4 linked regions of the Neurospora crassa OR74A genome follow. The protein of the gene in region 4 purifies or fractionates together with the protein of the main gene of each other region. This does not show direct contact. Links are inferred from orthologs where the notes say so. Each region holds a gene or a part of one and is shown on either strand. Other genes may lie near its edges.

Evidence for each region. Proteins that work in one complex are often made in the same cells at the same time.
Region 1: the proteins of NCU05233 (region 4) and NCU03066 purify together in Saccharomyces cerevisiae (affinity purification with mass spectrometry; 6 studies listed by BioGRID). This does not show direct contact. The link is inferred for Neurospora crassa OR74A from reciprocal best matches to the Saccharomyces cerevisiae genes NOP53 and NUG1.
Region 2: the proteins of NCU05233 (region 4) and crp-4 purify together in Saccharomyces cerevisiae (affinity purification with mass spectrometry; 3 studies listed by BioGRID, with this or other methods). This does not show direct contact. The link is inferred for Neurospora crassa OR74A from reciprocal best matches to the Saccharomyces cerevisiae genes NOP53 and RPL5.
Region 3: the proteins of NCU05233 (region 4) and NCU06468 purify together in Saccharomyces cerevisiae (affinity purification with mass spectrometry, with the first as the bait; 3 studies listed by BioGRID). This does not show direct contact. The link is inferred for Neurospora crassa OR74A from reciprocal best matches to the Saccharomyces cerevisiae genes NOP53 and REA1.

The regions. Positions count from the first base shown.
Region 1 is NC_026501.1:4,414,055-4,418,042, reverse strand, and holds NCU03066 (GTP-binding protein), read left to right. Parts: upstream 1-1,318; 5' UTR 1,319-1,423; coding exon 1,424-1,451; intron 1,452-1,522; coding exon 1,523-3,147; 3' UTR 3,148-3,488; downstream 3,489-3,988. Other genes in the region: NCU03067 (hypothetical protein), read left to right, coding at 1-300; NCU03065 (mitotic control protein dis3), read right to left, coding at 3,664-3,988. UniProt on the Saccharomyces cerevisiae protein: GTPase required for 60S ribosomal subunit export to the cytoplasm.
Region 2 is NC_026505.1:5,646,510-5,650,013, forward strand, and holds crp-4 (60S ribosomal protein L5), read right to left. Parts: upstream 2,086-3,504; 5' UTR 1,911-2,085; coding exon 1,908-1,910; intron 1,716-1,907; coding exon 1,678-1,715; intron 1,597-1,677; coding exon 732-1,596; 3' UTR 501-731; downstream 1-500. Other genes in the region: NCU04332 (epoxide hydrolase), read left to right, coding at 2,391-2,525, 2,627-3,504. UniProt on the Saccharomyces cerevisiae protein: Component of the ribosome, a large ribonucleoprotein complex responsible for the synthesis of proteins in the cell.
Region 3 is NC_026503.1:1,522,817-1,526,750, forward strand, and holds the start of NCU06468 (midasin), read right to left. Parts: upstream 2,801-3,934; 5' UTR 2,743-2,800; coding exon 4-2,742; intron 1-3. Other genes in the region: NCU06469 (putative mitochondrial 54S ribosomal protein MNP1), read left to right, coding at 3,546-3,746. UniProt on the Saccharomyces cerevisiae protein: Nuclear chaperone required for maturation and nuclear export of pre-60S ribosome subunits.
Region 4 is NC_026504.1:5,668,603-5,672,157, reverse strand, and holds NCU05233 (60S ribosome subunit biogenesis protein NOP53), read right to left. Parts: upstream 2,352-3,555; 5' UTR 2,120-2,351; coding exon 1,968-2,119; intron 1,895-1,967; coding exon 688-1,894; 3' UTR 501-687; downstream 1-500. Other genes in the region: NCU05232 (AP-2 complex subunit beta), read left to right, coding at 1-178; NCU05234 (GTP-binding protein ryh1), read left to right, coding at 3,278-3,324, 3,421-3,446, 3,531-3,555. UniProt on the Saccharomyces cerevisiae protein: Late-acting factor in the nuclear maturation of 60S ribosomal subunits, which is required for normal acquisition of export competence. Required for the export of the large subunit.

The sequences.
Region 1 (3,988 bases), on a different chromosome or scaffold from region 4:
GCGATGCGTAACTTCAACAGTGCGCTTGCTTTTTGCGAATCAGGGGCTGCTTCCGGTGCCATTCTGAGCGGTGACCGTTACAAACAGTTGGCTTTTACCAAACTCGGTGGTACACACAGACGCCTTGGCAAGTATGAGCAGGCAAAAGACCTGCTCGAGCAAGCAATGGCCATGTCGGCATCAAGTGAGCTGCGCATCGAAGCCAGTGGCGAGCTTGGTGTTATCTATCAGCACATGGACCTGATGGATGATGCAAAGCGTGTGCTTCGGGTTCAGTATGAAACAGCAAAGGAGTTTTAGGCGGAGCACTTCGCGTGCCGGTCGATCGGAAACCTCGATACGGTCAACTAGCAACTGTCCCAGCAGCGTTAGGATGAGTCGTTGTTGTAATTAGCGATAAATTAGCTCCTTGAACGCGTTGAAAGGGCCCATCAGATCAAGGATACAATTGACTCGCAAGTCCTGGATGCATTTACAAGAGAACAGCGATTGAAGGGTGCGATAACTTGGGAAACAATCGGTCTCTTCCGTCTTTCTCTACGCTAAATGGGGGATACCTACGGAAGAGTTTCTGAAGATACTCCCTCATGTGAAGCGTGATAAGCGTGGTTTCTGGGTGATATGTTACCTCCCCACCACAACCCCCTTTCTTGATGCGTATTCGATGCTAGCATGCTATTTTGCTTCAGGACTTTGTCTACGTAGGCCAAGATGACCCAATGTCCGGAGTGTCTGCTCTGCCGATAATCATTGCATAGTGCAATGCCATTGTCAGCTTAAGCGACGATCAATTATGCGAGCGGGGCACGGTGTTCTGTTGAATCCATGATGATCCAAAAACTCAAAAAAAGCGTACAGCGTCCATGTGTGGTATAAACAAGTGCTTGACGACAGAACTGATGGCATCCAGAACTGCACCTTGACGGACGGTTCGATGGATTTGAGGATCGTCATGGCAGACAAGTGTTTGATTGTTGAGACGGACCGACCTAAAGTCCTCTTTCTGGAAAGGCAATGCAAACCACTTGCGTAAAGAGTCGGTAGCAATAATTCTTCATATACATATAGAGAACAAGCGCAACCACACCATAAGTGTATCAATATAATTTACATTCCACGTTTGGCTAAACACAAATCAAACATACAATACGACTGTAAATTACAGGCACGCGCATCTCCACATTCGAAGCGGGGACTTCTGGAATCTTGGTGGAGTTCAACACGGCGGATCCCTGCTTTATCAGAGCTTATCTAGGCGGTCAGCAGTGGCACAAACCGTTCCTCCACTCTAATTTTTTGACGACCATCAATCAGTACAGCCGCCCATAGTAGCGACCGGATTTTGCTGCTTTACCTTGCTGTCCCATCCTCAATTATCCTCCTGTACCTCCTTTTTTGACATTAGGAGCAGCATATCTTCAAAATGGCCGGATCGATAACAAAGCCCAAAAGTCAGTCAATCTTTCGCTGAGAACAACATATTCTTCCAATCAACACATTGACTGACGTTACTTAAAAACAGAGCCGAAATCGAAGCGTACACCCGTACGCCTCAGGCACAAGATCCAGAAGGCCTCGGCCGCGAAGCAACGCAAGGACAGAAAGCTCGCCAAGAAGAACCCAGAATGGCGCTCCAAGCTCAAGAAGGACCCGGGTATCCCGAACCTTTTCCCCTACAAGGAGAAGCTGTTGAACCAGATCGAGGAGGACCGCATTCGGAGAAAGGAACAGGAGCAGAAGCGTCGTGAGATGGCCAAGGCGGCCAAGACTGGCCAGGACACCAAGACGGGCGCCGAGGGCGATGTCGAGGCGTTCGATGACGATCTGATGGACGACGACGATGCTATGGAGGAGGATGGTAGCGACGTTGACGATGAGTCGAACCCCCTCGCTGCCCTGGTGGCCAGCGCCAGGAAAGCTGCCGAGCAGTACGACCGCGAGCTCCAGAGCGGCGACGAGATGGACGATGACGACGAGTCCGACGACGAGACCGATGGCGAACCCACACAGTCCGGCGTTATTGAGGTTCCCGGCGGCGCCTCCTCGCGCAAGGCTTTCGACAAGGTCTTCAAGCAGGTTGTTGAGCAGGCTGATGTCATTCTTTACGTCCTCGACGCCCGTGATCCCGAAGGCACCCGCTCGAGGGACGTCGAGCGCGCCGTCATGGCCGCCGCCCACGGTGGTAAGCGCCTGATCCTCATCCTCAACAAGGTCGATCTGATCCCTCCCCCGGTCCTCCGCGGCTGGCTCACCCACCTGCGCCGCTACTTCCCCACGCTGCCGCTGCGTGCCTCCAACCCTGCCCCCAACGCCCACACCTTCCAGCACCGCGACATTACCGTCCAAAGCACCAGCGCGGCTCTCTTCCGTGCGCTCAAGTCGTACGCCGTCTCGCGCAACCTCAAGCGCTCCATCCAGGTTGGCGTAATCGGCTACCCTAACGTCGGCAAGTCGTCCGTCATCAACGCCCTCCTGTCCCGCCTCAGCAACAGCCGCGGCCAGCACAACGCCTGCCCGGCCGGCGCCGAGGCCGGCGTCACCACCTCGATCCGCCAGGTCAAGATCGACAGCAAGCTGACGCTGCTCGACTCGCCCGGTATCGTGTTCCCTTCCACTGCCGGCAACTCGACCTTCACCCCCAAGAACCAGACCGAGGCGCACGCCCACCTGGTGCTCCTTAATGCCATCCCGCCCAAGCAGATCGAGGACCCGGTCCCCGCCGTGACGCTGCTGCTCAAGCGCCTGTCGGCCACCCCCGAGTTGATGGACAAGATGATGAAGGTGTACGACCTTCCCCCCTTGCTGCGCGACCCCAACAACGGCGACCCCACCATGGACTTCCTTGTCCAGGTTGCCCGCAAGCGCGGCAGGCTGGGCAGGGGCGGTATCCCCAATATCCAAGCCGCTGCCATGACTGTCGTGACCGACTGGCGCGACGGTCGTATCCAGGGCTGGATCGATGCTCCCGTCTTGGCTGTGGCTGGTACCGCCACTGCTCCTGCTCCTGCTGGCGGCAAGTCTGCTACCGCTGATGAGCCCCTAGCGGATCAGAAGGTGATCGTGACCGAGTGGGCCAAGGAGTTCAAGCTGGATGGTCTTTGGGGAGATGAGGAGGAGACGGCGACTCCGGATGTTGAGATGCAGTAGAGCGATTTATTCCCCCTATCTTTGTCTGTTGGCAGTTGTTGTTGAGCATTTCACTTTTTGGTTTCTTTTTTGTTTTCGGTTGCGTCGGTGGTCAATGTCGTAATGAGTATTTTGTTGTTTTGCATGTCAGAAACACAATACAACGAACCCCGGAGCTGGACACATCTTTGTGAAGAGGCGTTTTGGCGTCAAGGTGGGAAAGAGCAAAAAGGGAGACAGGCAGGCCGGCTGGTAGAAAATAGGTCAAATATAGCCTGATCATAAACACCTCTATGACAAAGGCTTTTGAAGTGAAGCTTTAAATTCTTTCTGACATTCCCTGCATCGTTCATCATACCGAGCTGTGTTTTCAATGGCCTATTATCGAATTCGAAAGCAACGACATTCCGAAAATGACTTCATGAACGTTTGGATAGCCGAAAGTAAAAAAACAATGTATTGCTCTACAAAAGTCCATCAAGGGTATTCTTAACCTGTACCCCTTCTCAAATACTGAAGCATCCATCTTCAACAAATCTAATAAGTACTAACAAGCTCCATCTTCACCCCCCTCTTCCCCGTCGTCTCATCCTTCTGATCCGTCACCCTCACCCTGACCTTCTGGAACAACTCCACCTTAACCTCCCTGCTTCCCGATGTGGTCAGCGTGTACGTCTCGGCATCATACGTCGCCGCCGGCTCCGGCTCCGCCAGGTCACGCAGACGGATCAAGCTCTCGATACCGAACTTCGGCACGAGCACAACAAAGCCATTGCTAAAGATCTTCATGACGAAGCCGTCCTCCTCCGTAGCCTTGCCGCGCAGGGCCTGGCCGACATAATAAGCAATGCTGGCACGGCCG
Region 2 (3,504 bases), on a different chromosome or scaffold from region 4:
GAATGCCGCGCGATCAATGGAACTCGGAGAAAAATATATAAAAGTTACAAATGGGGAAGGGGAGGGGGAGGCAAAAAAACAGAATTTGTCCAGTTTGTCCAATTAGATATGAATTCATACCTTAGCTCTACTCATCTTGAGAATCCCGTCATCGATAAGAAAAACACACATCAACCTTGAATTGTTTGTTGAAAGGCCGGGACAAGTTGGCTAGAAGGTCTCGGACTAACAAACAACGAACAAACCTGTATCGAGTTATAGTGTACATGTAGCGCACAGTAGCAACCTACCATGAATCGTGAGGGGTCAATGACTCGTGAGATTTGTAAAGTTGATCTTCATCCCCAAGCAAATGACATTGCTTGGCGGTGGAAGTGAGAGAGTATGGATGACTTTACATGAATCGTGTTTCACGAGAATTTGCCGTCGGTCAGCACCGGTTTTGGAGATTTTGGAAAGGTAATCAATCACAAGAAAAGATGGACAGCGTCGAGTCTCAAATGGGAAAAGGAAGATCAAATTACGATTGAGGTATCACATGAACGAACGCCGAGTAATGCTCTTTTGCTCAAGACAGAAGAAAGTTGATTGGCTTTTAGATGAACCCTTTTGAGAGACCATGTCATCCCCATGACCCAGATGATTTCGCACCCATGCGCATCGAATGAACAGAACCTGTTTCCTCCCAAAAGGTTGTTCAACCCCTAGCAAAGTCCATAACAACTTCCAATTTACTCCGAGCGGAGAGCGGCAATGCGCTCCTGGACACCAGCAGCGCGCTGCTCGCGGGTGAGCTTGGACTTCTTGTACTTGAGGGACTCGGCCTTCCACTCCTCCTTGGTCTTCTTGGGAGCCTCGGACTCGGCCTTCTTGAAGGGGTCCTCGCGGATGGCGGCGTGGGCCTCGGCGTAGAGGTCCTCAAGGCCATCAGCCTCAAGATCGTCCTCAATGTAGCGGTTGAACTGGGACTTGTAGCGCTCCTCATCGTCGTCGGCGAGGGTCTCCATGTACTCAGCGACGTGACCGCCGAAGATGTACTTCTTGAGGGTCTCGGCATCGAGCTCCTCGGACTCCATGTCGTAACCGGGGAAACGGTTCTCGGAGTGGGGGATGAAGATACCGCCGTCGGAGGCACCCTTCATGGCACCGAAGACACGGGCACCGGTGGAGGTGCGAGCAAGACCGACATCAAGGAAGGCCTTGAAGGGGCGGCGCTCGCCATCGTCGGTCTCGGCGGCCTCGGTGAGCTTGTACTCACCGTCAGCCTCCTCAACACCCTTGAAGGTCTCGTCGAGGCCGAGCTTCTTGAGGACACGGCGGGCGAGGAGGAGACCGGTGGCGTAGGCAGCAGCCCAGTTGGTGAGACCGTGCTCAATGCCGTAGGCCTTGAGCTCGTGGGAGTAGGCGGAGGCAAAGACCTTGTCGCCGGTGATCTCGGAGCTCACAATCTGGAGGATGATGTCGCGGTTGGTGAAGCGGACAACCAGGCGGTACTTGGGAGCATTGTACTTGTTCTTGGCCTGGGTGATGAGGCGCTTGCGGGCATAGTAGTCGGTCTTGCCCTCTCTTCTGCGCTTGTACTTGGTCTGGAAGCGACTGTTGGGCGGATTGAATGTTAGCGAACCCCGAGCTCCTATCGATTTTTCTCGGATTTTCAAAAAGAGAACATCTGCTTACCTGTAGTACGCGCTGTTCTTGACAAGCTTGTGGAAGGCCTGACAATCAAAATCCCCGAGTCAGCAATTATCGCTTCAGAATATTTCCTCCTCTCCGAAGCATCTTGCGTTGACTCTCTTTCTCCTCAATTTCCCCCAAGTTTCCCTCTGGGAATGGTGTGTGATTTGAACGCAGCCGCTGGTCGCTCATTGCTGAACGGCCGCGACGCACGCCGTAGGTCGTCAACTTACCATTTTGACTACTTTTGCTGGGTGCACTCAACAAACGGTCTTGAGACGGGCTGGGTTGTCAGAAGGGAAATTTCGAGATCGCGAACAAACTTTGGTGGGCAGGAATTTCGCACTACAATCCCCACAACCCTAAGAACAAGAGCGCGCCTGATTGGTCGGCTGACCGCTGGGTTGTCAACTCAGGTTGGCGACGACCGATTCACTCACCCATGCTTTGCCGTGGCGCCACGGTGGGCGACGACCTAGCGCCAAGAATTTCACGCAAGCGGCAGGCAATTGTGGGCTCTGCCAATGGCATTGTAAGTAGTCTCGGGCTTCAGTAGCCGTCGACCTCTGGCAATCACTGTCCCGAACCGAGGTCTAGTATAGTGTACCATTCACTTCACTAATCGCTTCCTGGTGCCAATGTGCGGAGGTCCAATGTTGTTGATAGATGAATCCAAACATCCTTATACCCCCAAAGTCCCATGACATTATAGTGTGATGCTTCCTGAAGAGTTTCCCCCTGAATACATTCTTGAAGCCATCGACAACATGGCGCCAACCATCCTCAAAGGGAAAAGGTCCTCCGGGTCCCCCAAGCCCAAAGTCATCCTCTTTGACATTGGCGGCGTCTGTGTAAGTCAACATGACCACATCACCACTTCACTTATATACACAAATACATCTACCCCTCACAAAACAACACCAACATAACTAAATAACTAACACAAACCCAGGTCATCTCCCCCTTCCAGTCCATCCTCAACTACGAACTCCGTCACTCCATCCCCCCAGGCTGGATCAACCACTCCATCTCGCGCTCCGCCCCTTCAGGCTTCTGGCACCGTCTCGAAACCGGTTCCATTCCCATGGACGCTGCCTTCTTCGCCGGCTTCAACCGGGACCTGCACAACCAATCCCTCTGGGAATCCTTCTACCGGTCTCACCACCACCACCACCAACAAGCCAAAAAGCACCACCACCATCACCGCTCCTCATCATCATCATCATCATCATCATCATCATCATCATCATCATCATCATCTTCTTCATCTTCTTCATCTTCTTCTTCTTCTGGTTCTTCTTCTGGCTCTGATGAACTACTATCGATCCCGCCCATCCCCCAAATCGACGGCGAGTGGCTATTCCACGACATGATGGAGCACGCTCGAGCTCCAGACCCCTGGATGTTTCCCGCCCTCCAAAAACTCAAGGAAGACGGACGGTTCGTCGTCGCGGCACTGAGTAATACGGTGATCTGGCCGGAGGGGCACAAGTGGGCGGAGAAGGGGGACTTCTTCAGCGATCCGTTGCGACAGCTATTTGATGTTTTCATTTCGTCGGCGCATGTGGGGTTAAGAAAGCCGGATCCGAGGATCTATCAGTTGGCGCTTGAAAAGGTAGATCAGTTTGCGAGGGCAAATGCTGACTCCGAAAGGGGGAAGAGGGGCGGTTGGGCAGAAGGGGTGAGGCCGGAGGATGTTGTGTTTCTGGATGACATTGGGGAGAATCTGAAGGCGGCGAGGAAGGCTGGGTTTAGGACTATCAAGGTTGGGTTGGGAAAGGCGTTTGAGGCGGTTGATGAGCTGGAGAACGTGACGGGGTTGAAGCTGGC
Region 3 (3,934 bases), on a different chromosome or scaffold from region 4:
CACGGATCTCAGCCCCATGGGAAGATCTCTCTTGCCCACATCTGTGGCAGGGTTCATGGCACCAAACACGCGGAAATTGGGATGCGCCTGGATTCTCTCAATCTCTCCCGTTTCAGAGAGCAAAAGAGAGGGATTGGTCTGGAACAAGCCAGCAATGCTTTCCAGGGTATCAGGTGAGGCCAAGTTGATCTCATCAAGCAGGACCCAGTCACCGTTTCTCGCCGCCTTGACAATCTTGCCCTCGACGAAAGCAAAGGCAAAGCCACCAGGACCAGCCGCGACCTGTCTATCAAACTGATCAAGACTCTGCGAAAACAAGTCCCAACGAGCCTTGAGATCCCGCAGGCGCTGGAGCTTGCTGGACTCGGTCTTCCGACGCTTGGCTGGGCCCTGCTCCTGGTTCTCCTCCGCAACCTCCGCCTCTACGGTCTTGGCTGCTTGCATGCTCTCGAACTTGGCGAGGATCTGCTCGAACATCTTGGGAGCCTTGCGCCACTCCTTGGAGACCTCTCTCCACCTGCCCTTGGCGAACTTTTTGTTGATCCCGTCCAGATAAGCCTTGTTCTTTTCAGCAGAGACGCCGGTTCTCTCGAATAGATCCTCAAACTCCTCCTTGATAGGCATGGCGAGGGTCTGTGCGCTGACGGGCTTGAAGCCACCCAAAAGGTCACCAGCTTCACTTTGCTGGGACAAGTTGACGGCGACAAGTTGGTGACCAAGTGATTCCGCCAGCTGCTGAACCACGGTAGTCTTACCGATACCCGTCTCACCGACCAACAGGAGCGGCTCCTTGTGCCTTACAGCAACCGCAATCTGCTCCAGCAACCGCTTAGCATGAGTGGTGGTAGCGAAAGGCCTCTTGTTCTTGGCCCCACGGCTGGTTTTCCTCCCCTTTGCAAACGAGACGCGGCCGATGGTGAGTCTTGACTCATTATCCTCCAAGTCGGGAACGTAGCTCGTCAAGTAGTGCTCAACCCTCTCGGGAGAAAGATGCATCTCCTTCGCAATGACACCTATTAGAATATTACGCGCTTGGATCTCCTTGACTCCACCAACGAAAACATCGGCCGCTTCGAGGAACATGCGGTCCCTGGTAGTATCGGTAATGGGCTCCTCGCCAGTCTTGCAGCCGGAAGCACGGAGAATCTCATCTAGGCGCCCGCACCACTTGAGGAGATCTCTTGTGCCGAGTGGCCGCTCGAAGACCATGCGACCGAGCGACAGACGGGTCGAACCGCTGGTGGCCGCCAGCAACGCATCGAAGACCGCCAACACTCCTGGAACGTATTTGTGAAGCAAGGGATATCTGCTGTTGATGACATCCTTCAAGTCCTGTTGGGGAAGGGCCTTGACGTGCGTAAGCTGCCAAAGACGCAGACCAATCAAGCTGGGTAGGTTCTCCTTGTCGTTCATGCCGAGCAGCGTCCGGACAGTAGCAAATATGCGGAAGCCTTCGGTGGCCTGTATGGTCTCGCCGCGTCCAGGAATTAGCAGCTCTCCTCGCTCAATGAGAGGCAGCAATGTGCTCATGACTTCTGTTGGCGCGCGATCGAGATCCTCAATCAAGACCCATCTTCCCTCCTTGACGGCAGTGGTCAACACACCTGGGCGCCACGAGAAGGAACCGGGTTTCGAGTCGGTGGTGTATAGCCCAAGCAGCATCTTGGCGTCGGTTTGCTCGTTCAGGTGTAGTGTCACTAGTTGCTTCTGCTTGCCTAACTCGCGCGCAATCTCGTGGACTAGGGAGGTCTTGCCGGAACCGGACAGGCCGTGGAGGAGGATAGGCCCGGGTCGTTGCAGGCACCCGGTGAGGTTCTCGAGGTTCTCAACAGTCGTCGGGGTAAGTGCGAGGGTGGTGGGAGCAGTCACAGGGCCGAGGGGACGCGGGAGGACTGTCTTTCCATATTTGACAACTAGAGGAGTGAGGTTCTGTTCTGGGATGTTTGTGATATTCAATTCGACAACCGCATCGTCAACCGCACTAGTTTGTTGGGATTTACTGCGAGAGCTCTGAATGTCTTCACGTCTAGAATCCTCGTGTAGGCTGAGGAACGCATAGTCGGCTTCGCGCCCGTCGAGCTCTGCGACAAGGCTGGTATCTTTGGGTATGTGCTTTTCGAGGAGGGCTTCGATCTTGACATCGGCGGCATTATGAAGCTGGCAGAAGATTCGGACGGCAAGATATCGGACGATGGGGTTCTCGTGTGCGAACAGGGTCTGTATTTGGGATGGCTTTGACAGGCCGGCGTAGGTGCGCTTGTCAAAGTTGTTGAGCCTCCAGAGGGCTAGGAGGACAATTGGGAGGTCATCTGGGCGGATCGAAGCTAGGTCAAGGGAATCGAGAGGTTTAAGTTTTGAAGAAGCATCATTGTCGTTGCTTTTGTCGTTGTGGTTACCACCATTAACACCACCAAAAGATCCTCCTCGAAGATGCGACACGAGGAAGACGGACAGCGACGGGGCGAAGGGCAAGATCCTTGCGAAAGCGGCAAGGACTCGCGTATCGAGTTTTGGAGAAGACAGAATCCATCTGGCGCAAATATCGGCAAAAACAGACTCGAAATGGGTAAAGATGCGGTCGGTGGCTGTCGAGACAAGAGCGGCGCTGGCGATCGCATCGAGGAATTTGGTCGATTGGTGATCCTGGATTATGAGCAGCAACTCTGGCGGCAAGAGGTCCAAGGTGGTCGCATCGCTAAGGAGCGACGCCCTCTGCTGGCTCACATCGATCACGGCCATCATGGCCAGGGAAAAGCGACGGGACGGGTTGGCGTGGATGTCGTCGTCGTCGTCGTCGTCGTCGTTGTGAAAAACGGTGATGTTTTTCTTAGTCTCTTTTTTTTTTTTATCTCTAACTTTTTTGCCCATTGAACTTCGCTTTCTCCCGTTTGGAACTTTTTCCCACATGAAATTCCTTATCGCGCTGAACGATAGTGCGGGGTACATGCTACTTAGCGCTAGGCGCATGTGCTGGGGTGTACTGCATAGTACTCTACATAGTGTAGTGTAAGTCGGCTGCGGCAGGCAAGGGAGCCATCTTCTTCAAAAGTGGAACCTAGTTCCGGGTGGGACGAACAGCCCAGCGGCAGCAGGGGCGCGCTTGGGATGACAGGGGCCCATCCTTTAGCGCGTCTTCAGTGGACTTCAAGGTACAGAGGTACCTAATCCCCAGACTCGCGCGGGGCAGGCAGCTTGGGTTTTCCCCTCCAGCTGCAGCTCCGGGTCAGCCAGCCGTCATAGATCCAACTTGCACGCCCAAACCACCAAGCTGCCAACTGCCAGTAGTGGGTCCCAGATTTCGCAGCACCCGGGAGCGCGCGACAACGTCCCCAAAAAAATATCTCCGTTTAGTTGTTGTACGGTTCGGTTGTACGATCCTCGAAGTCGACGTCGACGGCAAGCCTCCCTCACCAAAAAAAGAGAACCCCAATCCGACCGCCCCCGCGCGCCCTCTCTCTTTCCTTCCTCCGGTCCGAGTCCGACTCCCCTCTCTCCATCCATCCATCCACACAACCCACCACCACCAACACACACACATACCAACAATGTCTCTCTCGGTTCGCTTCGCCGCGCAATGCGCCGCCCGCCAGCTCCGCGCATCCACCCGGGCCTCGAGCTCCCTCCTCGTCCAGAAGCGCTTCGAGTCCACCGCCGCCCCTGCCGCCAACCCCAAGATCGCCGCCATTGTTGACCAGATCAGCACCCTGACTCTCCTCGAGACCTCGGAGCTTGTGTCCAGCCTCAAGGTACGCCCGATTTAAATAAAGCACGAGAAGAAGAACAACCGGGGCCGGGAACCGGGACACACAAAACCCGAATCGGAGCATGTTTCAAGGTTTCCGGATGTTTTTGCGCCCCGGACCCGACCCGACCCGACCCGGCCCGGCCCCGGACAGACAGACAGACAGACAGACCTATCTTATACTACCTAGAC
Region 4 (3,555 bases):
GCAGCAGATGAGGCAGATGCAGATACAGCAGCCCGGCGACAGTTTTGGTGGGGATGCGGGACATTATGGGTATGGACAGGGGTACGTGGTCAGTCAGAGCTCGGCGTACCAGCCGGGGATGGGGGGGATGAATGGCATGGGAGGGATGAATGGGGCTCAGGGGGATTTGTTGTTGTGAGGGAGTGTGGTGTGAGGGGTGCCTAGCTCCGAATGGAAAGGGGGGATGGGATGGGAAGGGGTAAGAGTGGGAAGAGAGGAGAGACAAGGTAGTAATGTAATAGACAGACTAGGAGTTGGGGAAGCGTGGTGAGTGTGTGATTTGGTAGGGTGGTGGGAAAAGATATCCAGTTAGGGTTTTTGGTTGTAGATAATGCGAATAACAAGTAATATCCCGTCACTACGTATGTTCTGGTGTGTTAATGGGCGAGTGTGAAGACATTCATGTAATGTCATCTCACTACAAGACTTGAAAGACAAAAACGCGAGCATAGGACCACTTTGAATGTTCCAACCTTTTATTGCACTGAAGACCAAGTGAGAAAACCGTAAACGCCAATATACACATGACAAACGTACTACTAACAAAAACCAAAAGGGAATATTTTGTAGAAGGAAAAACAATTACCAAACAAATCCGAATATGTATATGTCCGTAAAGCCCCAAAACTTAAACCCAGCCGAGCCGCTTCAAGCCAGATTGAAATCCTTGAAAGTCCACTTCTCCGTGACCTTTGTCTTGGCCTGCTTTTTGAAGGGAATGTGCCTCCTCGCCTCCACCTTGCCTCTAAGCAACATATTCCTGTACCTGTCTTTCAACAAGTTACCCTCCGGCTTGAGCAACCTCAGCGAATCCTGCAGCTCATCCGGCAAGACCAGCTCCAGATCCTTCTCGGGCAACTTGAACTTGCCTAGTTGCCTACGGCGCAGCTCGACGTCGTCATCTTCTTCAAGGCTAGCATCGTCCTCTTCGACATTGTTGGATTCGGCTTTTTGGAGAGCAAGCTGCCTCTCCTTCTCGGCCAGTTCCTTGGCAATCTGCTTGACCCGCGCGGCCTCGGCCTCCCTCTTCTTGATGGCCGCCTCGTGCTTCAGACGCTGCTCCTCGGCCTTGCGGCGCTTGATCTTGTTGCGCTGGGCTTGCGTCTTGCGCTCCGGCCGCTTCTTCTTGTTGGCCAACCCTTCCGCGTCGCTCTCGGCCCCTTCCCAGGCGGAATCATCCTCCCATTCCGACAGCTCGGCGCGCTTCTCGGCGGCCTCGGCCTCGGCGCGCGACTTGGCGGCCGCTTCGGCCTTGAGACGCTCCTTCTCGAGTTCCTCCAGCCGCTTCCGTTCGGCCTCCTCGGCCTTGCGCAGCTCCTCCTGGTAGCGCTCCGAGTAGTCGGTGAAGGCGGGGTTGTACGACTTGTCGCCCTTGGGCTTGGGAACGGCGGGGAGCTGCTTGCCGGTGGCGGCGAGGGAGATGGGTTGTTGTGTGAGCGTCTTGGGCGCCTTGGGCTTCTCGACCTTGGGCAAAAAGTTGAACGTTTCCGCGGCCTGCTGCTTCTTTTTCTGCTCTTCCTCTGGGTCGGCCCAGGCGTCAAAGGTGGCGTCAACGACCTCAACCGTGGTGGTGTGGTGGCCGTCGGCAACGCGCTTCAGGCGACTGAGCTCCTTTTGGGTGACGTAGGTGGCCCGCAGGCGCTTGGAGGGCAGGACGCCGTCGGTGACCTTGCCGGAGGTTTCAGAAGCCGGGCGCTTCTTGAGGGAGACGGCGGGAACGGCGGAGCGCTGGGCGAGGATCTCGTCGGCCTTCAAGGGCTTCTTGAGTTGCTTGGGGAGCTTCTTGGTGATTTCGGTGTCGGGCTTGACGTCGATGGCGAAGAGTTCTTCGGAGGTCTTCTCGGCAATGACACCACTGTTATACGATAATTCATGTTAACCAATTGGTGTCTTTGGTAATACAAAGCATCACAGAAGGAGCGCCGTACCCCTTGATAATCTGGGCGTTCAACTCATCGAGACCCTGCTCGACCTCTGTCACGTCGACATTCTTCCTCCACGCCTTCTTGCCCTTTCTCGACGGTTGGTTGTATTGCTTGGGGGCTTCGGGATTGCCCGACAAGGGTTTTAGGACGGGCATTTTGGATATGTGATGTGATGGTGTGTTGTGTTGTTGGGTTGACGACTCGAAGAAATCAAACGAGTCGGCGGAGGTTCGAGGCAGATAAGAAATTGGAAATATTGATACCTCGAAACCGCCTGGAATTCTGGGGTCTCCTCTGCAATCAATCCGACTGCCCAGTGGGGTGTGCAACTCAAAATTTCAGCGGCGACAGGAGGCAGCGATAAGATAAGAAAGACCTGCCCGAGACAGGACAGGGAAGAGCAACTTCATGGAACACAAGCGTCCAGCGCTTCAGTTCCCTTCCCCAGCCGTGCTCAGCTGGCAGTTGGAGCAATTAGCCAATCAGACTTCCAAGCTGCCTCGGCCTCTGGACAAATCCAATGACGGCCGCCAAGCTTCCATTGGATGCCCGGTCTCGGTCGTTTTGGTCAAGTGAAGTGTCGAATTTGTCTGGGCGCAGAAAGGCGGCGGGCGGCCACTGTTTCCCTCCACTGATCGCTTGGCGCGGTCCCCTTTCTCTCGCATGAGTCCGCTTCGGGGAAGAAGACTGAATAATAGTCGCAAGAAACACTTTGTTGTTCGAACTTGAGGTTATGCATAAACAATGGATAAAAACATGTAAACTTGTACATACGTACATACGGAATGTCGGTCAATCAATTAATCTGTATCCAAACAAAATATTAAATGTTCAAGTATTTTCTGCTCTCTGTGGTATCAACTCTTATAAAACGATCTCTCGACCCGATTTTTGTTTGGTAAACGAAGACTCGACGGACTGCAAAGACCCCAGCAACCAAGTCGGCAACGAGACCCCGACTGGATCCCAAACACCGACCCGATTGTCCTCCAAGCTCCCTTGTCATCCACCCCCCGGCCACCACGCCCCGTCCGTCGCACCACTGAGACCACTCAACGCTGCATGATCAGTCTCCGGCAACTCTCCGCCGCCGTCCATCTTCCACTTCGACGACCAGCAGACACCTATCTAACTCTAGACCAACTCCGACCGCCTACACTACTAAGCTTTCTGCCACTTAACCACCACCACCTCCTCCAAAGTCCGAAAGCTTCCTCCCCTTGATCGTGTTTCCGAATACCTTCAGCTACCTACCTACCTACCTACCTACCTACCCCGCCAAATACCGTTAATCCGCAAACACATCCATCACAATGGCGCAAGCAGGCGGGTCATACAACAACCCCTTGAAGAAATTCAAGTAAGACAACATACCCGACACTTTTGCAGACAATGCACTTAAGTCAAATGGAAGACAAAACAAGACAAGATGCTAACCACTCTTTCTCCTCGCCAGGTTGGTCTTCTTGGGCGAACAAAGCGGTATGCGATTACCTCAACCTACAACACTTTCTCCACGATGTTCTCCGAGACACCAATGCTAACTCAACGATTGCGCGCAAACAGTCGGCAAGACGTCGCTCATCACACG